2 linked regions of the Caenorhabditis elegans genome follow. The protein of the gene in region 1 purifies or fractionates together with the protein of each later gene. This does not show direct contact. Each region holds a gene or a part of one and is shown on either strand. Other genes may lie near its edges. The genes, in order: nuaf-6 and sel-13.

The links.
Region 2: the proteins of nuaf-6 (region 1) and sel-13 fractionate together in Caenorhabditis elegans (co-fractionation; one large-scale study listed by BioGRID). This does not show direct contact.

The regions. Positions count from the first base shown.
Region 1 is NC_003280.10:11,493,270-11,503,818, reverse strand, and holds nuaf-6 (Phytoene synthase), read right to left. Parts: upstream 6,155-10,549; coding exon 5,823-6,154; intron 5,756-5,822; coding exon 5,593-5,755; intron 5,544-5,592; coding exon 5,280-5,543; intron 4,851-5,279; coding exon 4,347-4,850; 3' UTR 4,194-4,346; downstream 1-4,193. Other genes in the region: B0334.20 (uncharacterized protein), read left to right, coding at 3,360-3,419, 4,036-4,176; emc-5 (Membrane magnesium transporter), read right to left, coding at 5,956-6,168, 6,637-6,838, 6,958-6,977; prel-1 (PRELI/MSF1 domain-containing protein), read right to left, coding at 7,338-7,613, 7,659-7,840, 7,892-7,992, 8,043-8,116; ooc-3 (Chloride channel CLIC-like protein 1), read left to right, coding at 8,505-8,678, 8,725-8,822, 8,873-9,335, 9,398-9,516, 9,565-9,671, 9,722-9,854, 9,911-10,113, 10,306-10,355.
Region 2 is NC_003281.10:4,698,030-4,702,209, reverse strand, and holds sel-13 (Zinc finger protein 830), read left to right. Parts: upstream 1-1,985; coding exon 1,986-2,254; intron 2,255-2,301; coding exon 2,302-2,737; 3' UTR 2,738-2,803; downstream 2,804-4,180. Other genes in the region: clp-2 (Calpain catalytic domain-containing protein), read left to right, coding at 442-895, 957-1,194, 1,366-1,597, 1,687-1,761; dnj-18 (J domain-containing protein), read right to left, coding at 2,914-3,144, 3,194-3,505, 3,878-4,084.

The sequences.
Region 1 (10,549 bases):
TTTAAAATTTAAAAAAACGATATTGCTCCAAATTTTTACAATATACCTAACGATAGAATGGTAGACTAAAATGCGAGAAACAAAAAAATCACGGCGCAGCGGCCCGCCACGAGCCCCCGACATAGATTCTATTTGTGGCTCCGATTGACCTCAATTGGTCGATCACTTGCGCACGGCTGGCCGGGGAGGGCCGAAGCGCTGCGCCACACACAGTTTATATACAAATAGACGCACTTTCTCACATACACGACGACGACGATAACAGAAGAGGAGATGGATGAATAGATGGATGAGAGGCAGAAAATGAGAAGAAGAACGCTTGTTGGAATAGAGAGAGAGAAAGAGAAACCGTTCACACTCCGCCCTTATTCCTCCTGAAATCTCCCGCCTTTTCACGTCAAACATATCCAGATGGAGCACACGGAATCCAGCTCTCTTATAGTCGTAAACATATGGTAATCATTGGTATTCCCAATTTGGGAAGTTTGAAATTTCGTGCTCAATTTACAGTTGGAAAATTGAAATCAAACCCACTCTGGAAAAAGTTAGGACGGATTGAATATTACTTGTTCAATTTTTGCCGTTGCTCTACAGCTTCTCATTGAATGATTTTTGAGCAATCCTTGTAACAATTGAAACTATCGAATTCCCTTTAACGCCAAATAGTTTCCTTTTGCCGAGAATTGTTGCGCCGAAAAAAGGAAACATAAGTAATCGTTGTTTACGTTATTTTAGAATGTAAATATGAAAATACACAAGGTACTTTTCTAGTTTTTGAACATTTGATTTTTTTCCCATTGACGGGGTCAAGAACAAAGACATTCAATGTATTCAATTGAATTTCTGGAAGTTTCCTATTAAACAATTATATCTCGGCTAATTTTTGTTATTTTAATTGGCATAATGCGCAATATTGAAGCTTTCATGATAGGTAGGCACGTTTTCTACCTACCTACCTACCTACCTGCCTAGGTACTTGACGCTTGCATCTTGTAGATATACACACTTCTCTTTCAAATTAGTTTGTCAGAAACTCCACTGGGAAATGATAAATGTTTCCTGTGTGCTTCTGGAAGTAAGCAAGCTCTTAGGCAAGGCAGCCGCAGGCCGCTTAGATACCATAGATACCAGACATGCTGAATTCTGTGCCTACATCAATTATGTGCTTATCGTAGAATTTTTTCCAGTATTTTTAAAAAATTTTCAAAGTACAAATTATATAAATGTAAGTGAGTCCCAGGAATACCAAAAAAATTTACTCGAAGTTTCGTTTCCAATTTTCTACAGTAAACTTAAATGGGTTCAGTAGCAGGTTAAGGGAAAAACGGTAAAAATAAAACAAATTCTAAAACAAAAAGGCTATCTCACTTCCGGAACTCGAAGAATGACAAAAAAATTAAAAATCGAAATGTTGAACTTTATCTGATAATATTCTGATCATCGCCAAATGTTTCAAGTTTTATGTTTTCGCCTTGCGTAATCCATCACTGTCTTCGCCTCACCAAGCCCTTGTTTTTCAAGTCTCGAATCATCGTACCGGCTAACATGTTTCCGATATCTAGTTCTTTGGGTGGCTTCAATAGTGATAAGCAGTGATAAGTCCGCAACTATCACTTTCTTATAAAGAAGAAAGTGCATGAAAGACTGGAGTCACGGAACGGATAGATCCTTTCGGCAAGAAGGAGATTCGAGAAAAAAGGTGAAAGTTAGACAGAATCTGACGTGGCAAATCGGTTGATAAGAGATAAGGAGGAGTGCGCGTCCTTGATGCTTCATCATTTTGTCTCAATTTGGATAGACTAATGGCATTTGCCGATTACTATCGGTTTTCCCGATCCGTTCCGATACATTAGTGATGATTGTATTAGAAGCTGCATTGGATATACAAAATGAAACATGATAACCAATTTTCGAGAATCCTTCTGAGAAATGAATCGTTTTCAGGCTTAGGCTTAGTATCCGGCTTAGGCTCAGGCTTACGCTTAGGCTTTGGATTTGGCTTAGGCACACAAATAGGCGATTTTCGAGCCTGAGCTCAATTCTTGATATCAACCTTTCCTCAAAATTCATCAAACAACAGATCTAGCAAAGATCAAAAAATTAGGGTTGAAAAAACTTTTGAAATTTAAAAGGCCAATAAAAAAAGTTGCTTATAATAAATGTCGTATTTGGCAAGGACGGGAAATTGATGGATTGCATTGAATGAGGAGGGGAGCGGCTCCTGCAAAAACATGCGCAACTAGGTGTGTTTGATGCAGGAGACAATAATATGGAGTACGTGGATCGATGAGACGCAGTGGTTACTGTACAAATACAGAGAGGGGGTCTCGCGATCAAGTGAGACAGACAGAGGTATTGAGAGCTTCTCTTTCAGCATTTCGTGACAGTTTGAAAGTGAGAGGAGAGTTGAAAAATATTGGAGAACAGGTGAAAACAATATGTATGATGGGCAGGGTTTTACAAAAATGAATCGGTGGTCTGGACAGTTTTCTAGGAAGACTATGCACTTTGCATAGAAGCTTTAAACCGAGAACACTGTCACCAAAATCTCTCTTCAGAGCCTTCAATTTCAAAAAAACTTTACCGAACTTTTTGCCTAAACATACAGAATCACAAGAAGAAGAAGCGAGTAACGCCCGGAAAAATGCAATTCTTTGCAAAAAAAGAACAACAAAACTAACACTAACAATCTAAAATTCTGATCCCAGAACTTTAGACACAAAAACACAAAAAAAATCAGGATGCGAGTTCAAAAACATAAACATCTTTAATACTGCATGTTCTCTTCTTCCAGCATTTTTCTTGTAAACAACGAATTGAGTTCATTTTCAGCAAATTGGAGTTGACAGATTGGCGGAGGCCTCCGGAAAGAGCAAACAAATTTTCAGAAGTTGAACGGAAACTTTTGTAAAGTATGTACAGAATGCATTCAGAATTTGCAAAATGAGCAGAGGGGGTGAAAATAATTCGAAAAGCTGCGCAAAACTACTGTACTCTTCGAAGGCGCATAAAAATTTTCATATAAACTTATGCGGCCGTGTCGAGACCTGGTACCGTATTTTTCCATCATAAATTGCAGCATTTCGCATCCGAGTAATATTTTTTGTTAAAAAATTTAGATTTTTTCCAGGCTGCTCTAATTCTCTTCGGAAATATTCAGCTAAAATTATTAGACCTGATAGATTCCTTTTAACATGTCTAAAATTCAAAACATGTTTAAATTGATGAACACCCGAATAAACGGTGTCAAAACTGGATTGCTAACTTTAAATTTTCTTTGATTTACACTTGATAGAAATTTCTCATTCTAAAATGGAAATTCTGCGTATAAAAGCTGATTGAATTGTGAATTTCTCATAATGATTGCTATTTTCGCCGGTCATACTCAATTTCCAACTGATAACAGCCGTATCGCAAAGGTAAGCACGTTTACTATAATGTTTATGTAATTATATATCAATATTAAGTGAAGTTTTCCGTAAGGGCGCTCTTGATTGTGTACTTACTGTTAAATGCAAAATACGGCATCTGGCTCGACACGATAAATTTTTATTTGAAAAAAGCGAAAAAGCGTGCGCCTTTAAAGAATACTGTAGTTTCAATCATTTGCTGTTGTGGAATTTTAACTGATTTTACATAGTTTTTTGTTTAAATTTTATTTAATTAAAAAATTTTAATTTATTTTTTTAAAAACTAACATAAATCACTTAAAACAGATACATTTTGACAAATCGTTATGAAAAGTCGATAAAAATTCCGCAACAGCACAAGTTTGTAACTACAGTACTCTTTAAAGGCACACACCTCTTCGGTTCCGTGTTTTTGTTCAAAAATTTCGCATCAGGTTAATCGGAATATTAAATTAAATTCGCAAGAGCAGTAAATGTAGTCTAAATGTAGTTTTAAAATAATATTCGAGAGAAGTGTTCCAGCTTAACGCTAAATTTGTAAAAATGGCTTCCCCCTTCAAATTGTTGTTGTTATATCTTTTTTTTGAGGATGTTCTCTTCTCTCAAGAGAAAAAATAGCTTCCAGAATAACAACAACAACAACAATTCAAAAGAGGGTTCATCTTCGAGTATTCTCGTATTGCACATTCTAATTCGCCACATTCTTCTTCTTCCCGCTCTTCTTTACGATGGGCTCCTTGTTATGATTCAGTTATCCGTTTACTAGTCTTCGTAGTACTCCACACTGATTGTAAGCTCTTTACTTGATGCCATAAATATAAATATAACTATTCGAATGAGAGAGAGAGAACACGAAATGGGGAGAAGGGGAAAGGGAAAGAGGAAAGAAAAAAAAAGAAGATGAAGATGAAGAAAAAACACGAAAAATATAACATTTTAATATTTTGAGCACAGTTTTCGAACCAAAAGTGACCAGAGAAGAAGTGGATTTCGACGTTGAAGATGAGGAGAGTAGATGTCATAATTATTCTTTTCGATTGTTTTAATGATATAGTCAGTTGTGGCTCCAGTGGCTGCAAGCGCAGGTCTCACAGCTTTCGGTACCATTTCTATCGGACTTCGAGCATCAATAAGTAATCGTTTTGACTCGTTGACCAGATCTTTTGTCATTCCAACCATCTCATCGAGCTTCTTCTTTTTATAAAGACTATCCGGTGTGGCACCATTTAAAGACATCACATCAGCTGGTAGAAGAACGATTCCACGAGCCAGTAGTGGATGTGTGGCACGAATCATATTGGCGATAGCATACGCGGCTCCGAGATCTTTTGCAACATCGTAGGCCATTGGGAGTACTTTAGTTTCTGGAGAGTTACGAGCAAGAGCATCGATTTGTAGGCACAGAAGAGACCCGATTGTTGATTTGCCATATTCGCATAACTGGAAAAATATTTAGTAATTTTAATTTTTTTTTTTCAAGAAATTTGTCTATTTTATCTACATTTTAGATTAAAAAAAACCAAAATTGGTTTTTCTCATCTAAATTCCGCATTGAAAAATAATGATTTTTTTCTTTGATTCATAGAGCAAAAGAAACATATTACTCAGATGCAAAAGTTTCTGGTTTTTGCTCCAAAAACACCGTAACCGGTCTCGAAGCGAACGATTTTCTTAAACTCGGAAGAGTGTGTGCCTTTAAAGAGTACTGTAGCTTCTAAAAATCACTCAACGATGAGGAAATGGGAGCTACAGTAATCCTTAAAGGCGCACGATCTTTTGAATTTAAGAAAATCACAAAATATTTGCGATTGGGAATATGTTAAATTTTTCGGACATATTTTTTCGAAATTTTTCAATATTAAAACTCACAGCATTAATATCAGAAAACTGCCTATCACCAATTGTTGACTGGCGAGTTTCAACCAGTTTCAGAAGCATGTCAGAGTTGGCACCAGCGGCGAAAGAGCACAGAGCAATAGCAACAGGTTGACGTGGTACAGGAAGTGGAGATATTCCGTAGATTGATGAAATAGCATCCTTCCAGAATTGAAGGCGATACATTGCTGAAGCGTCTCCTTTTCTTGTGTCCACTTTGTCACGAATTGAAGCCAACTCGACGTTCAGTGCGTTAAGCTGAATTTGCCCGATTTTAAAACTATTTTTGGGTCGAATTTCTACAAACCGCGACAATTTCTGGCTGTGCTCGTTTATTGATAGTCAAAATGGCTAGATAACTGTCGATATCGTGTTTTCGAACCATTTCAAGACAACTTCTGAATGCCTCGTCGGCCTGCTGCTTACTGATTTCTAGGAATCGGGTCCTTTTTGGCATCGATTTTGGGATACTATAAAATGGAAAAGATTTATATTTTTAAATAGTTGAAAGACATAAAAGACAAAACAAATTATTACCGTGCACCCGGAATATTGCTAAAGTCTGGCGAACGACTAGGTGTTTTCTTCTTATCATTGGAAATGTTATTATTAGATGAGGTGTCGAGGAATGGAGAGGATTTTGTAGAGAAGTGACGAGCAGAGATTGAAGTTATTCCTGAGAATCGTCGGCCGAGTCTTCTTCCGTTTGAATAACTTCGGAGACACGTCCACTGTGAGTTCCACGAGAAGAGTTTTGTCGTTGACGTTGCTGTTGTTTCAAGGTTCGGAGCATCGCAAATTCTGGGGACATTGCTTTGGCACGGTTGTCGAATGTGATGAATGATGGACAATTGAGTGCTTCGTCGCATGATCGGTCGTGGTGCTGGAAATTGGGAAATTGAAGTAAATTGAAAATGCCAAAAAACAGGAAAATTGATTTTAAAGCTCCGAACTAATTTTTGTTTTAAGTTTTTTAAAGGCGTAGTAGCGAAATTGGAAAAAGAGAAAAAATTGCTTTTTTAGACCCAAACTAACCAAAAAACTGCCAATTTTCGTGATGAGGACCTTTGAAAATTTCTCAAAAAAAATCATGGCGGTTCAAAGTATTGGAAAAAGGCGCATATTATAGCTAAAATCTCAAATTTTGCCAAATTGTCAGTGCCGCCACTGACGGAATTTTTTAACACTTCTAAACTGGCAAAATTTGAGATTTTAGCTGAAAATAGTTATTTTTCAAATACTTTGCACAGCCATAATTTTTTTTGAAAATTTTCAGATATTCTCATTACGAAAATCGGGTTTTCCTCGTTTTTGGTTTAAACAATTTTCATGAATCTCTCCTCCAACTCACTTGATCCTTCTTTATGAAAAGGAATGGATTGGCCAGGAAGGAAGTTCCGTAGATCAGTGCAATCAAGGAGATAACTGTCTGAGCGACGACGTCGGATGGGAGATTGATGAACGGTTGCTCAGTGAGACGCAGGTAGAAACGGTGTTGGGCGGCGGAATAGGCACAATGGAGCAATGAGAGAAGCGAGACGATTGTGATCAGGCTGCAACAGGGGATTTTCTTTTGATATCTATGTCTCTTTTTCTTGTGATTGATGGTTATTTTTTGCTGATTCAAGTGGAACAACTGCCGTGTTCCAGAAACTTTTGGGAGGTCACTCACCGGTAAATAGTACTCGCCATATCGTTGATCGAAGACCAAGAAGCTTTTTGAAGGAGTTTTGAAAAGCCTTATTGAGAAGAGCCTAAATATTGGAGATTATGATAGATTATAATGTAATTCAGACAAAAAAGGTCAAGAAAGATAACAATAGCTGGTAAATAACCAGAAAATAGCCAAAAAAAATTCAAAAAATAAATTGAATATGTACATTTATCAGGAGAGATTGAGAGCCAAATAACAAACAAATAATGGTCTCAGTTCAATGCAAAGAATGTGCAGAAGATTCAGTAATTCTATGAGAATTGAGATTTTTTTGGGGGGACATAAATGAAAATAACGGGAAAAAGTGAATGTTTGAGATTTATATTCAGTATGGCTGACTAGACATCCTCTTCGCATTGGACATGAGTGACGAGATTTGACGATGACTTGATAATCTTTTCCTTGATCATTTTCATTTTCTCATTAGCAACGTTTTTGACTCCAAATCGCTCTTCTAGCTTCTCAAACAACCCTTTCGTTGTGTTATTGATCGATTTTTTGAAGCCCATTAGTAGGACTTTCTCGTAAACTGAGCTCATTCGACCACAATCGATTGAAACTGTGACACTTCGCAGTACGTCAGTGAGAAGGGCTGGGTGATGCTGCTGATTATCCTGAAAAATAACAGTAAATAGAGATTTGAAATAACAATGATAAACCTCGGATGATTTGTAAATGCATCGTTCATGGAGTTGAAATAGAGAAATGTGTGAAACATTTCGAGTGTATGTTACGAGTTTTTTCGATACTTTATCATAAACACTTTCTTCAATGACAGGAACAACTTGAATATCTGTCATTCTCGAAATCCAACGAGGAACACGTTTCAAAATCGAGCTTCCTGAAAAATTATGCGAATAATTTACTGGCTCTTGTAATATCAGCTAAATACCTTGCTTGACAATCAATTTTTTAGTGACAATAGTGTTGTCAGTGATCTGGCGTTCGAGTACATCCTCCGAAATGATGTGTTTTGCATGAGAATTTGGGTATCTGAGGGTTTAGAAATTGAAATTACCATTTTCCGAGATTTCCTGCCTCACCTGTCCCAAAACGCACTGGCAACCTCATCAAATGAATAAGGGAACGAGGTATTCGGAGAATCCCAAAGCTTCATCTTGAAGTTTACTGAAAAACAAGAAAATTTGATGAAATTATTGCAAAAATCGATGAGAAAAGTGTGGAAAACTGTGGAAAAGAAAATAATGAATGCAAATTTCTCGCGTACGCAGGCATCGAAATTCACGACAATTCTGCATACACCAATTGTCAACCGTATTATACTTATTAATTTGCCTTCTGAAAACTTGTTTCGCAATTCTTGAAATGTTTCGATTTTACAATTTTCTGAATATAAAAAGTGAAGTTTAAATGCGAATTATCTGAAAACTCGGAAAAACACAACATTTTATTGATCAAACAACTATGTTATCTTATGAACTCGCCTGTCAGTTGCTGAGCGTGCTGTAAACATCTTTTCTCTTTCAACTTTCCGCTTGTTTCAGATGAAAATAATATGGGTCACACTTCTACTCCTCGTCCCGCAACTTTTCGCAACTCAAGACATTGACGAAGAATTTACACATGAAAATGTGTGGAAAGATCCGAATGATCCAACTTCTGGAGAAAGCCCGCCAGCGTCAAAACGACTTCTATCTGTTCGAAATCAAGTTCAGAAGGTAAACTAAAAGCTTTAAAGAAATCCGTAAATAACCCATTCAATAGTTTCAGCCTGATCAAAGTCTTCGTCTGATTCTTCGACAACTTCTCCACGAAACCAAAATTGACTATCATTTGGAAGGTTCAATTAAAAAAGATGTACAGTGAGTATATTTTCTTCTAGTTCCGATATATTTTAAGCTTTGAATTGCAGAATTAAAATATCTCGGCACAGCATGTCGGTTCTTTCGAAGTATTTAAAAAATGATGAAGCAGATTTGGCTGAAGAGAGAGAAGCCGTCCGATCCGCGTTGTCAAACATTTTCAGCGTGAAGCCTCCAGCTCCAGATCGTACTTGGCAGGATACATTTGTGACTCTCCAACCTTTCATTTTCACACTGAACATCTTCATTTTGCCCGCGGCTGCTTTTGTTGTTCTTCGATCAATCGTTCGGCCACGAAACTTTTGGATTCTCGTTCTCTCAACTGCTCTTCTTGTTTCCATGTATTCTGGTTATAGCAAAAAATATCAAGAAGCAGAATCACGAAGATTTGCACAATTCCAAGAGCATGCTCATGATTCTTGTGCTACAGAAGGATTACTCTCAAGAATGGTTGAAATCCTCGCATCGCCTTTCCAATATCGGCAAAAATCAAAATGTTTAAAGTACATTGAGGTTAGTTTTTGTTTTATTTCTTCTTTGTTGGGTTAAATTATTTTAAATGTTGTAAATTTCAGAGTCAAACCATATCGATTTTCCACGAGATTTCTATCATCGAAGTGTTTTCTGAGACTATTTCCGGAGGATTCTTTGCGTTTTTTTCTGGTTCTGCGAAGCACTTTAATTTATTCTTCAGGTATTTTTTGACGAATTCATAAAAAAAGCTGTAAATTAATTTTTCCAGAAATCTATATGACGGTGCTCCATTGATAGCTCAAATCGTGATGACAATCTTCCTTGTTCTAATGCTTGGAGCTATTCGAACTCCATTCTTTAGTTATGAACCGATTTGTAAGAAATTTTAATTTAATAGTTAAATAACAAAAACTAATATTTTTCAGGGCTCAACTTCTGTAGTTCCAGTATTGGAAAAATCGCGGGTTGGCTGGATGGAGAACCTCCACAGCAGCCAGCTCCCCAACTGCTTATAACAGCAAAAGAGATGAAAAGATTAGAACAGGCAAGAAATAAAAAGTATGATTGCGGTGTTTTTCCTGTTAAATTGTGTGAAATAACGAATATTATTTCAGACCCGAAATGATAAGTTATCCAACATCGGAGCGAGAAGACGTCGTGAGTGGAAGCGAAAATGGGAACGAGAAAAAGAGCGACAACGAGAGAGAGGAGTCGATGAAGATGGAAGAAGACTCAGCTCCGGTGGAATCGTCGCTAGAAGACGATCTGAGCTTACTCGGAGAATCGAGTGAAGATGAGGATGAGGAGAAAGTTAACGGTAATGTTTTGAGCAGGAAATTCAGATGGATTCCAGTTGCCCATAACATAAATTCTGCGAAAAATTCAAATTTAAAAATCATAAATTAACATCTAAAAAACTAGAAAACTAAAATGTTCACCGCTTCGTCCTTTATTGATTTTTGTGTAAAACAATATAAACTTATTAAAAAGCTTTACTTTTAAATTTCAGAATCTCCTGCAAAAATCGACTCAACAACCTTATCAGAATCAAGCTTCTAATGACTCGAAGGTCAACCCAACCCGTTCAATTTGTTATCTCTTTTTTTGTTTGTACAATCAATATTTTTCCCTCTTTTTTGTACATTTTTAGTTCATATCTAGAAATCACTTTTACTAATTTTCCATTCTTTTCCTGTAGATCTTGCCTATTACCTCTTCCTTGAATTACACTTTACTGGTAGTTTTTTTTGTTG
Region 2 (4,180 bases), on another chromosome or scaffold:
TTTTTATAACATTTGACTTAATACTATAAAGATTTTTGTATGGCTCCTAGTGGCCCAATATCTTTTTTTGTTGTAAAAATTGTTCGGAAAATGCATTTAAAAAATATTTAATTTTCTGACATAATTCTGAATCGTTATTGAACATTTTTTCTTCTCCAAATCAAAAACGAAAAACGTTTTTTTGCTAAAAAGCTAAAAAAAAAAGCGAACTAATTTTAAATATGATTTCGAGTGTGATTTTTCGGAATAACTGTAAAATTTAAACATTTTTAAATTTTTAGATTTTTATCCGTTTTTTCGCTTACTTTTTTATCAAAAAAAATGCAAAAAACTTTTTTTTTGCCAAAAATACGAAAAAAATCTATTAAAATGCGTATTGCTCGCTATAAATGACATTATTAAATTCGAAAAAATCTACAAATTGCATATTAAAAATTTCAGACAAAACGCTTACTCAAAGTGAAGAACCCGTGGACACATTCAAGATGGAAGGGAAATTTCTCAGATAAGGATAAAGTCAATTGGACTGCCAAAATGAAAAATGCTTTGGCTTTCGATCCGGAAGTAGCAGCGGAGAAAGATGATGGAATCTTTTGGATTGATTATGAATCTGTTCGTCACTTCTTTGATGTGATCTATGTCAACTGGAATGCTGATCTCTTTCCATTCAAATCTGTATATCATGCCACGTGGACACAAGACACTGGACCGATTCGAGATGTTTACACAGTTGGAGAGAATCCTCAATACACGCTAACAGTGAATTTGAATCAGAAAGCTGCAGCTGTGTGGATTCTATTAACAAGGCATATCACTGCGATCGACGATTTTGCTGTGAACAAAGAGTTTATCACTCTTATTGTGTATGAAACTGGGCAAAAGATCTATATACCAAGTTAGATTTTTTTTTGTTTGAATTATATATAATGAGTAAAATATTAATTTCCATTTTCCAGGCAACCCGCAACCAATATCCGACGGTGTTCGTATCAATAGTCCATTGTATTTATGTCAACTCTCGAATAAAAAACCAGGAATTACCAAATACACGTTGGTTGTTGCTCAGTATGAGAAAACCAATACAATCAACTATTCTCTTCGTGTATTTTCAACAACTGATGTTAAATTAGAACCTGTACAGCTTCCCTATTCAATTTCCAAAACTACTCGTGGAAACTGGGATGGCTCTGATAAGTGAGTTTTTTTGGATGAGAAATTAGAATGAAGAGCGTAATCAACAAATATTTAAAAATTAACAAAAATATTTAAGTGATGAGAAAAACGAGAAAAAAAATCACATTCTAAAAATAAATTAAAGATTTTTTTGACAAATCAATTTTTTGATAAAAAAAATCAATTTTCCAGATACCCTATCATGAAACTCACACTTCACTCAAAGTCAGATGAAATCGCTTTATTTATGGAATTAAAAGCTCCAAAACAGTTTTGTGTCGCTTTGGAAATGAAACAAAACTCATCAGATCGAACTGTTTTCTTGGAAACGAAAAGTTCGGGAGCATATCGACCTGGATACACTGTTCTCACACTGGAAAAAGTTCCAGCAGGAAAGTATTACGTGAAAATTTCAACTTATACGGTAAGTTGAAACTTGAAAAAACTTTAAAATATTATCTGTAGCGCCTTGGATCCTTGGATTCATGCAAAAAATAAATCTTTAATTTTCAGGCAGGCGACAAAGGCCCCTTCATCCTCCGAATCGATTCTACTTGCAAATTTGACCTCGAGCCCATTAAACTGTGAATATATATATCAATCTAATCTCGCACGGTGTCTTTTCAATTACAACATTTTTATCTTCATCTTTTTTTAAAATTAGAACTCGGGTTGTATTTTTAATTGCCATTGTATAAATTTTTGTAATTTTAATCGCTATAATTTTTTTCAATATCATGACTTATGTTTTATTCATAATTTGAATACTTTAATCATTACTCTTTCAAAACTAAAAACAAAATTGTATATAGATGAGCCTTAATCCAATGATCGCGAAGCAGAAACCAAATGGAAATATTCAGTGCTTGGTGTGCAATGCAGAGATTAAGCCGAAAATCTGGACGGCACATGTTAATGGAAAGAAGCACAGAGATAGTATTGAAAAGTTGAAGACAAGTGCTCAGAAGCGTGGAAAGGAGAGTTCAACCAGAAATACAGATGAACCACCGAATAAGAAACAAAAGGAAGTACCAAATCAGGGACCAACGACTCTACCCACAGACTTTTTCGATGATGAAAGGTAGTTATTTAATTATTTAAACTAAAATAGATCTTTTTAATTTTCAGCACTCCGTTCCGTAAAGATGATTCAAAAACTGCCACTGTAGGCCACAACTCTAACCTGATTGAAGGTGTTCCTGCCGGATTTTTCGATGATAAGCGGTTGGATGGAAATGTTCGTGAAACTCGTGAAAGAAATGCCGAACTCGATGCCGAATACGAGCGATGGAAAGAGGAGATTGGCGAAGAGCAAGTCGAATTGGATACAAAAGCCGAAGAACTCGAAGCTGCTGTGCAACGAGAGCTGGAACTGGAGCGAATCGACGAACAAATGGCTGCATTGAAGAAGTTGAATGATATGGAGATTCAGAAGGAGAAACGATTGAATCAGGCGAGAGAGCGACGTCTGAAACGAGAAGAACCGGAAGAAGAGGAAGATGATGACGGAGAGGATATTGATCTCGATGCGCTCGATTGGCGAGCAAAGAATATTTTCGCATAAAATATAATTTTCTCAAGATGTTTCTCAACATTTTATTTTATCTAAATATAAACTAAATCTTTTTTCAAAGAAAACCAGAAGAAAAAGTGAAATATTAATTTAAAATTTATTTCTAAAAATTAAATGAAAACCTATCGAAAATCAATTGGATCTAATGCCGAGCTACCGGGACAATGCTAACGACTCAAGAGTACAGTCAAAAATCCAGCTATCACAGCAGTCACAAACATTCCAGCCATGTACTGTCGTGCTTCACTGGCTTCTTTTGCTCGTTTATCTCTCATTATCTGCTCAAATGTGGGGATTGGATATCGAGCTTGATGAGCCGCTTGTTCTCGTTCAACTTGCCGTCGGAGCTCTTCCATTTCTCTTTGCGCTGCTCGACCATCTTTATACATTGATCCGTGCTGAAATTTTCAAAGTTTGCTCTAAAACCCCACCGGGAGATTCTCAAACCTTCTCTTGTGCTTCTTCATATTCACTTTTGAATACTCGTTTCTTAAATCCTCCAAACTCTGCGTAAAACTCATTTGGCATATCAAAATGTGAATGATATTGAGGTCTTCGTCGTGTGCTCCGTTGAAAATGTTCAAAATCTTTGTAGTCAATATCAATATCTGTATATTGTTTTAAATTTGAAGATGTCCGCCGCCGATATCGATTGCTAAATGATGATGGGTCATTAGGCATCGGAGAAGTTCTGATTCGTGTCATATCATATGCTTTTCGTTTATCTTCTGAGCTCAGGATTTCGTAAGCCATGGCAACCTGAAAAATATTCATTAAAAACTCACAGGAAGCAACTTTTATGTTACCAAAATGCAATGTTTTCCGGTTTTTGCAACAAAATTACGGTATTCCTGGTCTCGTCAGGACAATTTTGTTTAAAGTACAATTATGTGTGCGCCTTTAAAGGGGTGTGTGGAATTTTTGTAATTTTTCAACGTTTTTTCACAATTAGTTTTTTATGTGTTTTAATGGTTGCATTTTAGTTGTTTTAAACTAATAAACACATTTTCAAAATTCACAGCAATGAAAGTTTTAAATTACAGTACTCTTTAAAGGCGCACACCCTTATTTATCAAAAAACGTGTTAAACCGTTTTTAGCGCAAAAATCACAAAACGGGATCAATAAGTACCTGATGAAATTTTTTAGCAGCCTCCTCCTTATTTGTAGGATTTGTATCTGGATGATGTTGTTTCGAAAGTTTATAATATGCAGATTTAATATCTTTTTGCGAGGCTGATTGTGCCAATCCAAGAACTTTGTAATGATCCTGTTGACTACTACATGGAACTGATAAGAATAAACTTCGTTTTTGATTGGCCACAGCCAATCGGAGCATTTCAAAGCTGAAAGTATAAGTTCAACTAAATACAGGAAATTATAATGGAAAATGAATTCAAAATGGTAGTTAAACCGAATAAAATACTTTTAATGT